Stegostoma tigrinum: one gene and its partner. The protein of the gene in region 1 binds, or shares a complex with, the protein of each later gene. Links are inferred from orthologs where the notes say so. Each region holds a gene or a part of one and is shown on either strand. Other genes may lie near its edges.

What was found. The genes of interacting proteins can lie anywhere in the genome.
Region 2: the proteins of wdr59 (region 1) and sec13 are in contact, whole or in part, in a cryo-EM structure (PDB 7UHY), measured with the Homo sapiens proteins. The link is inferred for Stegostoma tigrinum from reciprocal best matches to the Homo sapiens genes WDR59 and SEC13. Residues at the interface, in NP_085058.3 of Homo sapiens: Ala525, Tyr526, Gly527, Asp531, Ala532, Asn533, Ile534, Pro535, Phe536, Pro537, Arg538, Thr539, Ser540, Gly541, Ala542, Arg543, Phe544, Cys545, Gly546, Ala547, Tyr549, Val551, Phe553, Thr554, Arg555, Met557, Ala644, Gly645, Lys646, Val647; in NP_899195.1 of Homo sapiens: Val4, Ile5, Asn6, Thr7, Val8, Asp9, Thr10, His12, Asp14, Met15, Ile16, His17, Asp18, Ala19, Gln20, Met21, Asp22, Tyr23, Tyr24, Gly25, Leu28, Val42, Pro59, Trp61, Gln62, His67, Pro68, Tyr79, Ser105, Asn107.

The regions. Positions count from the first base shown.
Region 1 is NC_081369.1:11,740,242-11,748,006, reverse strand, and holds the start of wdr59 (GATOR complex protein WDR59), read left to right. Parts: upstream 1-4,765; 5' UTR 4,766-4,821; coding exon 4,822-4,875; intron 4,876-7,765. Other genes in the region: mixed lineage kinase domain-like protein, read right to left, coding at 3,484-3,532. UniProt on the Homo sapiens protein: As a component of the GATOR2 complex, functions as an activator of the amino acid-sensing branch of the mTORC1 signaling pathway. The GATOR2 complex indirectly activates mTORC1 through the inhibition of the GATOR1 subcomplex.
Region 2 is NC_081364.1:60,402,327-60,409,358, forward strand, and holds the start of sec13 (protein SEC13 homolog), read left to right. Parts: upstream 1-4,020; 5' UTR 4,021-4,043; coding exon 4,044-4,193; intron 4,194-7,032. Other genes in the region: cullin-associated NEDD8-dissociated protein 1-like, read right to left, coding at 1,034-1,101. UniProt on the Homo sapiens protein: Functions as a component of the nuclear pore complex (NPC) and the COPII coat. At the endoplasmic reticulum, SEC13 is involved in the biogenesis of COPII-coated vesicles.

The DNA.
Region 1 (7,765 bases):
CGACAAATATTTGGGTTAATTCGATCACTTTGTATTTAAAAGGCAGCATGGAACATTGTTATAATACTAGTTGATCGTGTACTGGAAATGTCAGATCCCAGAATGAGTCAGCTCCCAGAATGATACTTGATTTGAAAGACCATAAATTTTACTTCTCCTTTTATTTGCCGTGGAGATTAGTCATCGAGGCATACAGCATGGAAACTTACACGTCAGTCCAACTTGTCAACGCTAACCATGTCCCCAATCTAAAATAGTCCCACTTGCCTATGTTTGGCTGATAATCCCTTGAAACTTGCCTGTTCACGTACTTATCTAAATGTCTTTTAAATATTATAACTCTACCTGCATCCACTATTTCCTCTGGCCATTCCACACACAAACCACTCTCCATGTAAAAATGCTGCTCCTCATGTCTTTTTTTAAACTTTCTCCTCTCACCTTAAAAATATGCCTCTGAGTTTTGAATTACTCCACCCTCAGGAAATGACCCTTGCTATTCACCTTACCTATGCCTCTCACGATTTTATAAACCTCTATAACATCACCCATCAACCTCCTGCACTCACATGGAAAAAGTCCCAACCTAGCCAGCCCTTTATTTTTTATCAGTGAAACCCTTCATTTCTGGCAACATCCTGGTAAATCTTTCCTAAACACCCTCTGATTGCCTAATATCTTTCCTATAGGAGGATGACCAGGACTGTAAATTGTACACCAGAAGAGGCCTTACCCACATCCTGTACAACCTCAACATGATGTCCCAACTCCTATACTCAAAGGTCTGAGCAGTGAAGGCAAGCATGCTAAATGCTTTCTTAGCTACCCTGTCTACCCGTGATGCAAATTTCAAAGAATGATATACCTGCACTCCTAGGTCTCTCTGTTCTGCAACACTACTCCGGGCCCTACCATTAATTGTATAAGTCCTTTCCTTGTTGTTTTACCAAAATGTAACACCTCACGTTTATCCAAATTAAACTCCATCTTCCACTCCTCATCCCAAGACTCAATTGATCAAGATCTCTTTGTAATCTTTAATAACTTTCTTCACTGTCCACAATACCATCAATTTTGGTGCCATTCGCAAACTTACTAACTATGCTTCCCGTATTCTTATCCAAATTGCTTATATAAATGATGAACAAACCAGCTATTAGGGGTAGCACAGTGGTTCAGTGGTTAGCACTGCTGCCTCACAGCATCAGGGTCCCAGGTTCAATTCTAACCTCAGGCAACTGTCTGTGTGACGTTTGCACATTCTCCCCATATTAGTCTGGGTTTCCTCCCACAGTCCAAAGATGTGCAGGCTAGATGGACTGGCCATGCTAAATTGCCCATAGTGTTCAGGGGTGTTTATTTAGGAGGGTGGGTTGAATGGGATGCTCTGAGAGTCAGTGTGGGCTTGTTGGGCTGAAGGGACTGAATTATAAGTGTTAACTCACAGGGACTTGGGAAAAAAAACCTGACAGTGTTTCCTTATTCCAACCATCGGCCACATCCAGCTTTCCTGCTCCTCTGATGCTGCTTGGCCTGCTGTGTTCATCCAGCTCTGCACCTCGTTATCTCAGATTCTCCAGCATTTGCAGTTCCTACTATCTAGGAATAGGGTACTGAGTTGGATGATCAGCATAATCATAGTGATTGGTGGAGCAGGCTCAAAGGATCAAATGGCCCACTCCTATTCCTGTATTCTATGTTTCCATGCAAACGTTTCATTATTCACCGGGTATCTGATGAAGGCGTTTAACTCAAACCACATGATTTGCTTGAACTGATGTGTTTCGTTCACTGGTCCAAATGACTTAGTGACTTCTTTTAAAATAAGTAACTTAACAGAACTGAAAACACAAATCTATTTTATCATAAGTGACCATACAAAAATGGTCAGTTTCAGAGTAAAGTGATAAGATATACTATCACACACTGCTTTCGAAAGTTTCAGAAAGCTTTTATCTTTAGACAGTGAGTATTTGAGCCAGAATTTGTCTGTCAATGGAAAACATGTAACTGGAAATATTAATCTGAAGATGTCAGATGAATCCTTACTGCCTTCCTTCAACTCACATGAGAAGGTTCAAAGTTAATCAGATTCTCAAAATGTTGCTTATTTTCATCTTAAGTTTACTTGATGAAATTACGTCCACATGGCAGCATTTATACCTTTGCGGTACACCACTGAATAACTTTGTCAAAACCTCGTCTCAGTCAGCAAAGCCAGACACAATTAATTGTCATAAAATTAAACAATAAAAAAGATAAAGTTGCCATAGTCACAGCAGATCATACGGTTACTTTCTCACAAGAGAGAGATGATTGGTGATGGTTTAACCTGATTCTCACCATGCCTAAATATTGTCTAAACCTTGTCTGTTTTAAGCAGAACAATCGCATCCCCACCCTTGTCTGCCTTCCGGAGGGACCAATCTCTCCGTGACTCCCTTGTCCGCTCCACACTGCCCTCCAACCCCACCACACCCGGCACTTTCCGTGCAACCGCAGGAAATGCTACACTTGCCGCCACACCTCCTCCCTCACCCCCATCCCAGGCACCAAGAAGACATTCCACATCAAGCAGATGTTCACCTGCACATCCGCCAATGTGGTGTATTGTATCCCCTGTACCCGGTGTGGCTTCCACTACATTGGAGAAACCAAGCAGAGGGTTGGGGACCGCTTTGCAGAACACCTCCGCTCGGTTCGCATTAAACAACTGCACCTCCCAGTGGCGAACCACTTTAACTCTACCTCCCATTCCTTAGTTGACATGTTCATCCTGGGCCTCCTGCAGTTCCATAATGATGCCACCCGTAGGTTGCAGGAACAGCAACTCATATTCCGCTTGGGAACCCTGCAGCCCAATGGTATCAATGTGGATTTCACAAGCTTCAAAATCTCCCCTCCTTGCACTGCATCCCAAAACCAGCCCAGCTCGTCCCCGCCTCCCTAACCTGTCCTTTCTCTCATCTATCCCTTCCTCTCACCTCAAGCCACACCTCCATTTCCTACCTACTAGCCTCATTCCGCCCCTTTGACCTGTCTGTCCTCCCCGGACTGACCTATCTCCTCCCTACCTCCCCACCTATACTCTCCTCTCCACCTATCTTATCCTCTATCCATCTTCGGTCCGCCTCCCCCCTCCCTATTTTTTTCGGAATCCTCTCCCCATCCCCTTTTTCTAATGAAGGGTCTAGGCCCGAAACATCAGCTTTTGTGCTCCTAAGATGCTGCTTGGCCTGCTGTGTTCATCCAGCTCCACACCTTATTATCTCAGATTCTCCAGCATCTGCAGTTCCCATTATCTCTGAGAACAATCATCTCGCTGGTTTACCACAAAACTGAGGTTGATCATCCCTGCACTTACACTGTTCCTTCCTGATTTTGTCAGGTGTCCATTAAGCTAATTGAGATTTTTGACCTGGATACAATGCACCATTCCAATAATGATAAAACATTTCTCGTCATTTAATTTAAACTTATTACTTGTTAGGTGCTGTAATGGCAATCCTCTTCGAGCTTTGTCTTTGGACATTCTTTCCTCTCTTTATAATTGTCACTGCTCCACTCACTCCTGCTTCTATTCACCTGAGCCTCATTCTCGTCTGTCCTTTTTTGATGCTTGCGACATTGTGCTGAGCAGCCAAAGCAGCCCTGTTTCTTGCAGAGTATTTCTGGTCTCTTTCTTTGTTTGGTGATTAGGATTGTATTTGTTTGGGTCCAAAAGATTACAGAATTGAAAGAGGTCTTTCAGCCCATCATGTCCATGGTGGCTTTTGAAGCCAAAATTCATCTGCCAATCCTCTGTCTTGCATGTTATTTTTCAGACATAATCAAATTCCATCTTGAGTAACTTAATTGAATCTTTCTCCACCACAATCTAAGGTAATGCTTTCCAAATCGTAATCACGCGAAAAACTTTCCTCATGTTGCCATTTCTTCTTTTGTCAAATACCTAAAATCTCTTTCGTTGTTGAATATCTAAATAATACATTCCCTCTCGATTTTCTCTTCAAGGAGTCCCAACTTCCCCAATCTGACACCAGAACAAGAACTCTTACAAACAAGATCTGAAGTAGAAGCCTGATGTGCAGAGATTTGTCCATTGTTTGCCCTGCCCTCACCTACGAATTGATAAATTCTGCTGACGTTGGAACAGTCTACTATTACAGCAATGTGATTTTTTGGAAATAAACTGGTAGATACTGGCAGAAACAAAATAACTCGGTTAACAGGTCACAATTGTTCATCCAGCTCCACACTTTTGTAATCTACAATTGTTTTTGAGTCTTGTCGAATCTTGTTGAACAGTAGGAATGGAGAACAGGTAACAGTCAAGCAAAACACCCAAACACATACCACCACTGCGAACATCTCAGCACAGTGGCGCTCAAGGCGAGCATTCTCAATTTACCACGTCTGTTGCGGATGTTGTCAGCCGATACTGTCATATCGGTGCACAACAGGGATAATGATTATTATGTAAATAGCTGGGCATGCTTAAAGTTTGCAATGCTAATAATATAGCTTTGTTTCCTTTGTCTGTATTGCATTTAACACCTCAGAGGAAAAAATGGAGGTGAAAATATTCAGACTGGGTAGAGGATAAATGTTTAATTGAAGAGTAAGATCTTCAGACACTGTCAACGATTCATCATTGCCACCAGTACGAGATGAATCCACAGAACACACAGCACTGACACACCGCTCTCTGCTTCCGGGAAGGACCAGGCCCGGGCGGCGGGGCACGCAGGTCTGCGTCGGACGTCCTGTGCAACGTGATGACGTAGTTTGTTGTTGTTGGTGCCCTGCTCCGTTCCTGACATGGCGGCTCGCTGGAGCAGTGAGAATGTGGTGGTGGAGGTCAGGGACTCGCAGGTAACAACTTTGACCGGCAGCCGCGCCGCTGCCCGGGGCTCGGGGACCGATTTTGGCTCGCGCTGTCGTCGACTGGTTGCCGGAGTCTGAGGATTTGTCTTTGGCGGGGGCCTAAGCAACGTGAGCGCGCCTGCGCAGGACCAACGCGCATCCTCCCCTGACTATAATCCTCTTACCTTAAAATAGAAACAGAAGGTGTTGGAGAAACTTCGCAGGCTTGGCACCATGTGTGGAGAGAGAGAGAGAGAGAGAAACAATTCATGTTTCGTGTCAAAATGACTCTCTGGCCTTCTCTCATCGCCACTTAATTTCAAACTGTTCAAATAGTGCCTAGTGCACTTCTACTTTAGTTAAGATCTGAAACCTGGCTATTGAAGCTATTCTTGTTCGCGGTCCATTGATTAAAAATATCTGTAAATGTATTCAGACAGGTTTTGACACGAGGCTGGTTTCGTTAGAGAGAAGAAGGTTGAGAGGTGACTTAATTGAAACATATAAAATAATCAGAGGGTTAGCTAGGGTGGATAGGGAGAGCCTTCTTCCTAGGATGGTGACGGCGAGCACGAGGGGGCATAGCTTTAAATTGAGGGGTGAAAGATATAGGACAGATGTCAGAGCTAGTTTCTTTACTCAGAGAGTAATAAGGGAATGGAACGCTTTGCCTGCAACGGTAGTAGATTTGTCAACTTTAGGTACATTTAAGTCATCATTGGACAAGCATATGGACGTACATGGAATAGTATAGGTTAGATGGGCTTGAGATCGGTATGACAGGTCGGCACAACGTCGAAGGCCGAAGGGCCTGTACTGTGCTGTAATGCTCTATGTTCTATCTCTGGAGCCTGTGGGAATTAACTCAGGTCTTTTGGCCCATAGTTACGACACTACTACTCCGCCACAGGAGCTCTTACTAACCCCATTAAGTACTGAAGGACTTGTTCCGTTGCTGACTTGTTCCAGTAGGCAACCTCTTGTGCTCATGTTTCCAACATTGTTTGGAAGATAAGGAGGATTGATCTGTGACTTCGTTGTGCATACTGTTTGAGAAAATGTTATGGAGTGTGCAAGCTGTTTCAGTAAGGGGCCAGATAAGGGAGGACGCAGAAAATTTAAAAAAAAGGTTAATAGGCTGAGAGCACAGAATGGTTATAGCACCAAAAGAGACCACTTTTGTGCCCATGCCAGCTGCAAGAGCAACTGATCCAGTCCCACTCCCTTGCCTTTTCACTGTAGCCCTGTATTTTTTTTCTTGGGGGAAATGTACAGTTCCCTTTGAAAGCCATGATGGAATCTGCTTCCAGTGCATTCCAGATCCTAACCACTCGCTGCATAAAGTGGTTTTCTTTCAATGCACTTTGGTTTTTCAGAAATTAAAAGTGATGATGAGTCAGAGAGCAATGAGAAAAAAGGAATGTAATGACACTATATGATTTTAAAATTCTCCATCAACTCCTGTCTCAAACTTCTCTTCCTAAAGGTGAAAGAACACAACTTCTCCATCTATCCACAAATCTGAACTTGAACCCTGGAAATATATTTGTACACCATCTGGAATACCATAATGTCCTTTCTAAAGGGTTACAGTTAAGAAACAATGGAGATGTCCTTACCAGACTAGACATATTCTGTAGGCCACCAACTTGTGGAAAAGATAGAAAGGAGCAGATTTACAAGGGAGTCAGAGAGATATAAGAATTAGACAGTTGTTATGATGAGGGGCTTGAATTATCTAAATACAAGTTAGCATAAGAGTGTAAAAGGAAGTGAGGGGCAAGAGTCTTAAATGTTCAGGAATGTTTTGATGAGACTTATGGCTCTGGTCCGTGGAGGAAAGAAGCACTGTTCGGCCTCGTAGTTCTTGGAAATAAAGTAAGCCAAATGGATCAAGTTGGGGAATATTTTGAGGGCAGTGATCATTGTATCATAAGATTTAGGGTGGCTATGGAGAAGAACAAGGAAGAAACCAGAGTAAGAATCGATAACCAGAGGAAAAACAATTTTCATGGATTTAGAATGGAGCAAAGGTATGCGGACAATCCTGTTACTGAATCAGGGGCTCCCTTTAAAGAAAAGCGAACACCAACAAGGTAGATTCTTATGAAGGGGAAAAGTTAAAACAAACAAATCTAAAGCGCCCAGATGAAGGATTAAGAGGAAAAAGAAGTGTGGTCTTGATAAGTGTCAGGTGGTTAAAGAATTAACAATTAGGCTGAAATTAGAAAGTTTAGAGGAGAAATCCAGAAGCAAATCAAAAGTAATCTAAAAGACACAAAGATAGAAGTTGCTGGAAAAGCTCAGCAGGTCTGGCAGCATCTGTGAAGAATGCTGCCAGACTTTTGCTAAACTTTTCCAGCAATTTCTGTTTTTGTTCCTGATTTACAGCATCCACAGTTCTTTCGGTAATCCAAAAGACCTCTAGGCCTATTTATAGATAGAAGTTTGGTGAAATGAGTGATTAGTTGATTAGGATTTAGAGGGCACTGATTTAATGTAATTAGCAAAAGCAGCAATGGCAAAACAAGGAAAATCTTTTTAATGTGGTTAGGATCTGGAATTCTTCCCAGAAAGTGTAATGGGGTCAGGTTTGATCAAGGCATTCAAGAGGAAAACAGAATACTATCAGCAAAGGAGGTACATGCAGCACTATGGAAAGATGGCTGGGAAGTGGGACAATCTGTATTCTCCCATCAAACAGCCAGCGCAGAGGGCCAAATGGTCTTATTCAATCACCATTTTGATTATGGTCATTGGAGAAACAGGTATTCTCCTTTTGAGAAGATAAGGTTGGAGAGTTTCGGCTATGAAGAGAGGTTAGATAAACTGGATAAATTGTTTTCTGCTGGATTTATGGGGAAATACCTCATTGGGGTCAAAAAATTATTAGGGGCAT
Region 2 (7,032 bases), on another chromosome or scaffold:
ACCATCCCTGCCCTCCCCCCACAACAGCATAAACACTGCCCCCTTCACACTTCATGTCAGCTCTGAAAAATCACCTAGACGCAAAACATTAGCTCGTTCTCTCTCTCTTTCCATGGATACTGCCTGACTGCTGTGATCTGCAGCATTTGTTGGTTTCAGTAGATTCCAGCATCCACAGTAATTTACTCCTAACTGAAAAAAAACTCGAGATCAAAGAGTTAAGTCATCAGCTTGACACCATTCTTGCCTTCAAGTCAAATGTTGTGGGTTCCCATCCTGTTCCTTTAACTTGTATGCATACTCCAAGCTGACACACAACTGCATTGCTAAACATATGCTGTAACAACCAGAGTGATGCCTATTGGATGTGACTGAATTGGGATCTTGCTGCCCAGTCTGAATGTGAGGGGACTGTCAGCTGGAATTGGGATCTTGCTGCCCCAGTCTGAATGTGAGGGGACTGTCAGCTGGAATTGGGATCTTGCTGCCCCAGTGTAGGGGAATGGGGTGGGGGGGGAAGAGACTGTCAGCTGTGATTGGGGTCGTGCTGCCCCAGTGTAGGGGAATGGGGTGGGGGGGGGGGGGGGAGAGAGAGACTGTCAGCTGTGATTGGGGTCGTGCTGCCCCAGTGTAGGGGAATGGGGTGGGGGGGGGCAGACTGTCAGCTGGGATTGGGGTCGAGCTGCCCCAGTGTAGGGGAATGGGGTGGGGGGGGGGGCAGACTGTCAGCTGGGATTGGGGTCGTGCTGCCCCAGTGTAGGGGAATGGGGTGGGGGGGGGGGAAGAGACTGTCAGCTGTGATTGGGGTCGTGCTGCCCCAGTGTAAGGGAATGGGGTGGGGGGGGGGGGGGGGAAGAGACTGTCAGCTGTGATTGGGGTCGTGCTGCCCCAGTGTAGGGGAATGGGGTGGGGGAGGGGCAGACTGTCAGCTGGGATTGGGGTCGTGCTGCCCCAGTGTAAGGGAATGGGGTGGATCTTGCTGCCCCAGTATAACAGAGTGTTTAAAGGAGGAGGGGGAGGGGACGGGGCCTACCTGAAGTCCTTGTCGCTGGAGGTCATTTTCTCCAGCAAGTTGGAGATGTGATAGGACACATTGGCCATGGCGGGCAGTGCGTGAGCTGCAGGCACCGAGCTTTTTTTCCCCCCCCCTCAGTGCGTCCCTCTCTGAAACAACAACAAGAAACTGCTGCTGACGCCCCCTCGAGGACCGTCCATGGGAAAAGATGGCGCCGGCAGCCGCCCCGCCCCTAAACCGGGTCACAGGTCACGGGCACAAACCATCTCCGCCAGCCCCTGGGGGGGGAGGGCGAGACAGGGAAGCAGAGGGGAACGTAATGACGTTTCTCCCTCCCCCTCGGTCTGTCGAGTGGTATCTACCAGAGAATCCCTCTGTGAGGGGGAGACTCAGGGAGGTGGAGGTCTACTGGGAATGATCACTGAGGGATCATATTAACACTTCAGGAGCAGGCAGGGAGAGATCTACTGGGACTGATCACTGAGGGTTCATATTAACACTTCAGGAGCAGGCAGGGAGAGATCTACTGGGACTGATCACTGAGGGATCATATTAACACTTCAGGAGCAGGCAGGGAGAGATCTACTGGGACTGATCACTGAGGGTTCATATTAACACTTCAGGAGCAGGCAGGGAGAGATCTACTGGGACTGATCACTGAGGGTTCATATTAACACTTCAGGAGCAGGCAGGGAGAGATCTACTGGGACTGATCACTGAGGGTTCATATTAACACTACAGGCACAGACAGGAAGAGAATCTACTGGGACTGATCACTGAGGGATCATATTAACACTTCAGGAGCAGGCAGGGAGAGATCTACTGGGACTGATCACTGAGGGATCATATTAACACTACAGGCATAGACAGGAAGAGAATCTACTGGGACTGATCACTGAGGGATCATACCCATCCATCAGGCACAGGCAGAGGGAGAGATCTACTGGCAATGATGACTTGAGGATCATATCCCAGCAGACATGGAGGGAAAAGAAGTACTGGGACTGATCATTGATAAATAATATCAACCAAAAAGAGACACAGACAGAGCTAGAGATCTACACACAATGATCACTGAGAGATCATATTAGCCCAGCAGAGACAGATCTACTGGGACTGATCACTCAGGGATCATATTAACTCAGATTAGACACAGACAGAGTTAGGGATCTGCTGGGAATGATCATTGAGGGATAATATTAACCCAGAAGACACTAGTTGAGGGAGAGATGTACTGGGAGCGATCACTAAGAGATCATATTAATCTAACAGACATTGGCCGAGGGAGAGCTCCACTGGGGTTGATCACTGGGTTTTACCCAGCAGAGGCAGATCTACTGGGACCGATCATTGAGAGATCATATTGACCCAGCAGAGACAGATCTATTGGGACTGATCACTGAGGGGATCACATTAACACATAAGGCAGAGGGAGAAATCCACTGGGAATGATCACTGAGAGCTCATATTAACTCAGCAAATACAGACAAAGAGATCAATTGGGGATTATCAGTGAGGGATCATATTAACCCAGAATAGACACAGGCAGGGTCAGAGATCTAGTGGGAATGTTCACTGAGAGCTCATATTAACCCAGCAGAGATGCAGACAGAGGGAGGGATCAACTGGCAATGATGACTGGGAGATCATATTATCTTAGCAGACATGGAGGGGGAGATGTACTGGGAATGATCATTGATAACTCATATCAACCGAGAACAGACAGAGCTGGAGATCTACACACAATGATTGCTGAGAGATCATAATAGCCCAGCAAATTTGGAGGGATGGTATACTGGAAATGATCACTGAGGGATCACATTAAACCAATGAATGCAGATAAAGAAAGAGATCTACTGGGAATGATAACCGAGAGATCATATTAACCCAGCAGATTCAGACAAAGCAATCCGCTGTCAATGAGCCCTGAGAGATCATAGTAACCTGAAAACCCAGACAATGGAAGAGCTCTATTAGGAATAATCAATGAGAAATAATATTAAGCCAGCAGCTACAGAAATCTTGGGGCAGCACAATGGCTTGGTAGGTGGTTAGCACTGCTGCCTCACAGCACCAGGGACTCAGGTTCAATCCCAGCATTCGGTGACAGTGTGGTTTGCAAATTCTCCCCATGTCTATGTGAGTTTCCATCAGGTGCTCCAGTTTCCTTTCAGTGCAAAGATGTACAGTTTATGTTGATCAGCCATGCTAAATACAAGGTCATGGGGATGGGTCAGGGTCCTGTGTTTGGGTGGGATGTTCTTCTGAGGATTGGTGTACATTCAATGGGCTGGACAGCCTTTTTGTGCATCATAGGGATTGTATGATTCTTCTATGATTGTAAATCTACTGGGAAATCCCACTGACATCATATTAATGCAGCAGACAAAGACAGACATATACTGGGAAAGATCACTGAGGGATCATATGAATCCAGCACACACTGTCAGAGAGAGATGTCTGTTGAGAATGATTATTGAGGTCAGTCCAGTGCTACTCATATTTCTTGTCATTGTGTTAATATCTCTCATTTATCATGCCCAGTTGTTCACTCTGTCTGTCTGTGTCTCTGCTGGATCGTATATGGTCTCTCAGTGGTCATTCCCACTAGATGTCTGCCTCTGTGTGTTTCTCTGCTGCTTTCATATGATCTCTCAGTTAGTGATGCTCAGAGTACTATTGATGCTCAAGATGCCAGTGATACTCAGGGTGCTAGTGATACGCAGGGTGCTATTGATGCTCAGGTTGCTAGTGATGCTCAGGGTGCTGGTGATACGCAGGGTTTTATTGATATTCAGTATGGTATTGATGCCTAGGGTGGTATTGATGCTCAGGGCACTATTGATACTCAGGGCACTATTGATGCTCAGGGCGATATTGATACTCAGGACACTATTGTTGCTCAGGGTGATACTGATGCTTGGGGCACTATTGCTGTTCAGGGCGACATTGATACTCAGGGCACTAGTGCTGCTCAGGGCGATACTGATGCTGAGGGCGCTGTGAACTGTGTCAGTGCAGCGGCTCCATGCGGAACCTTTGTTTGCGATTGGCGGCGGGAGTCGGTCGGTTTGTGGAGCGGGACAGGTTCCGGGCTGCCACGTCTGTGAGGAGCGGAAGCGGGTTGTGGGCCCGGCGTCGAGACTGCGAGCGGAGCGGCCTGCCCGGCGGAGCCATGGTGAGTTCTCCTCGCCCCGGGGGGCTCGGCCGGAGAGGCTCAGGCCTGTGTGGGGTGGGGGGAGACGGTGAGGGAGGGAACCTGAGGAGGGTGTCTCCCCACCCCAGCTCGGATTGTGTCTCCCCACCCCAGCTCGGATTGTGTCAGGAGTGAAGGGGACTCCAATCAGGCCCAGTCCTTATACTTTATTGCAGAAATACTCCACGTTCATTAAAAATGACTCCACGTACGGTTATGAAAGGATTTCTGCGCAGCCTTGCACGCGAATAACAAACACTGGAATTTGGCATTGCCCGTAGTCACAAAATCAAAACCCCAAACCACTTCTTACTTGTACAGGTTTACATTCACATACGTTTTAGACACCGAGAGGGTCTAGTAACTGAATGGACCTTCCACCCCCACCCCACCATGGACTTTGGTAAAAATACTTTAAACGGTGGCCTTTCCCCGTTGTGGCTTGGAGCATATCATCTCTGATGAAGGGTCTAGGCCCGAAACGTCAGCTTTTGTGCTCCTGGGATGCTGCTTGGCCTGCTGTGTTCATCCAGCCTCACATTTTATTATCTTGGAATCTCCAGCATCTGCAGTTCCCATTATCTCTGTTTTTTTGTAATTGCCTTCCCTATTCTGTACAACTCAGGTCGGGAGTCACCCATTCCTCTCTAACTTAGTCCCGAACATATCTTTCCCCTCCCAGAGACAGTGGGAACTGCAGATGCTGGAAAATCTGAGACGACAAGGTGTGGAGCTGGGTGAACACAGCAGGCCAAGCAACATCAGAGGAGCAGGACAGCTGACGTTTCAGGGCTGGACCCTTTTTGAGAAAATGACCACCATATGGGGGTGGCTCAGTGATTAGCACTACAGCCTCACAGCGCCAGGGACCTGGGTTCGATTCCGGCCTCGGGCAACTGTCTGTGTGGAGTTTGCACATTTTCCCTGTGTCTGTATGGGTTTCCTCTGGGTGCTCTGGTTTCCTCCCACAGTCCAAAGATGTGCAGGCTAGGTAGATTGGCCGTGCTAAATTGTCTGTAGTGTTCAGGGGTGTGTGGGTTATAGGGGGATGGATCTGGGTGGGATGCTCCAAGGGTTGATGTGGACTTGTTGGGCTGAAGCGTCAATTTCCACACTGGAGGAATTCTATGATCTATGATTTAATGATCTGCAATCTCTGAACTTTGGACCCTCATTGATTTCAGAAGAAGGGTCCAGACCCAAAACATCAGCTTTCCTGCTCCTCTGATGCTGCCTGGCCTGCTGTGTTTGTCCATCTCTATACCTTGTTCCCTCTCCCAGTCTCAGCTCGAACATCTTATTCACAGTAATTCTCTGAGCGCGCTCTGCCTTAGTCAGCTTCGTTGACTATTCCTGCTTGTGATCCTTCCCATTTCAGACAGATCTTGAATATAGAGATAACAAGGTGTAGAGCTGGATGAACACAGCAGGCCAAGCAACGTCAGAGGAGCAGGAAGGTGGATGTTTTGGGTCTAGACCTTCCTTCAGAAAATGTTTCAGGAATCGTAGGGAGAAACACTTCTTAAGGGTCTCAATGTTCTGAATGTAGACATTGTCACGGTTGGGGCCAAATGTGGGAAGGCTTGAATGTGGGCTGTAGTCCATTGGGATGATCTGGTTCCGAAGGCAGGAGCTAAGAATAGAAGCGTGGGGCTGGGTGAACACAGCAGGCCACGCAGCATCTTAGGAGCACAAAAGCTGACGTTTCGGGCCTAGACCCTTCATCAGAAAAACATGCTCATGAACCCCAACCACAGAAACTATTGGCAACAGGAGTCTCCAGTGGATCATCTCTGGGATGACTGGGATCAGTAATAATTTAGGATGGCTCTAAGCCCCTCCTCTCGGTCTGTCCTGAGCAAGGGTCACTTGAAGCGTCTTTGGAGAGCCTTGGATTCACAACAGGCTGCACTAACAACTGCTGTTTGCCATTCATTGATACCTCCAGCCAGAGGTGATAGGCTGGTGTTGACTCCACTACCTTTGGAGAAAAAAAGGCAAACAAATTTCTTTCATTTCCTTGGGACATTGCAATGTTTTGTTGTCTCTGGAAGTCCTATATGGTAAGTTTCAAATGGCTGGCGTTCAGTTCGGGTTCATGACTTGAGCACAGAATCTAGGCTGTGACAATAATAAAGCAGTGCCACACACTTGGAGCTACCATCTTTCTGAAGATATGTCAAATCAAGACCTCATCTGCACAGTCAAGGGGGCTCAAAAAGAATGGTACAAGCAGCTTCATCAATTTCTAGAATGATACAGCACATGAGATTGTTTGGCCCGTCATGCCTGTGTCAGCGTGTTTTCTGAAGGGAATTTAGAATACATGAAAAGAATTAATTACAGTGGGGAGCAGTACGAATCGGATTTGGTGAATTGTCTCCGTGTGCTGTGAGATTCTACATTGTTAATAACTTTGCACTGAGGGAATAAGTCTGTTGACAAATTTATTTAATTGTGGTTTCTAGATTCGGGGCTTCAAAAAAGTATTTGAGCATGTGTGTTAGAGTCTAATCCTTCACCAACTAGGACAGATTCAAGACCAAACAATGAGAGATGTTATAAATTTTCTGTGTATGGTGTATAAAGTCTCCATATTGAAGTGCATTATTGAGGAAATGGTAGGTTGGGTTGGGTTGAGTGCAGTTTGCAAACAGGTGACAATGCAAAATATGGCAGCAGTTGCAGTTATTCAGAGAAGCCACAGGATCGCAGCCATGTGAACAAGTCAAACTGGTGAATGGGAAGCATTTTATGAGGTTACGCCTGGAATATTTAACATGAATTACTGGATACTGGAAATATATGGGTGTACCTTGTA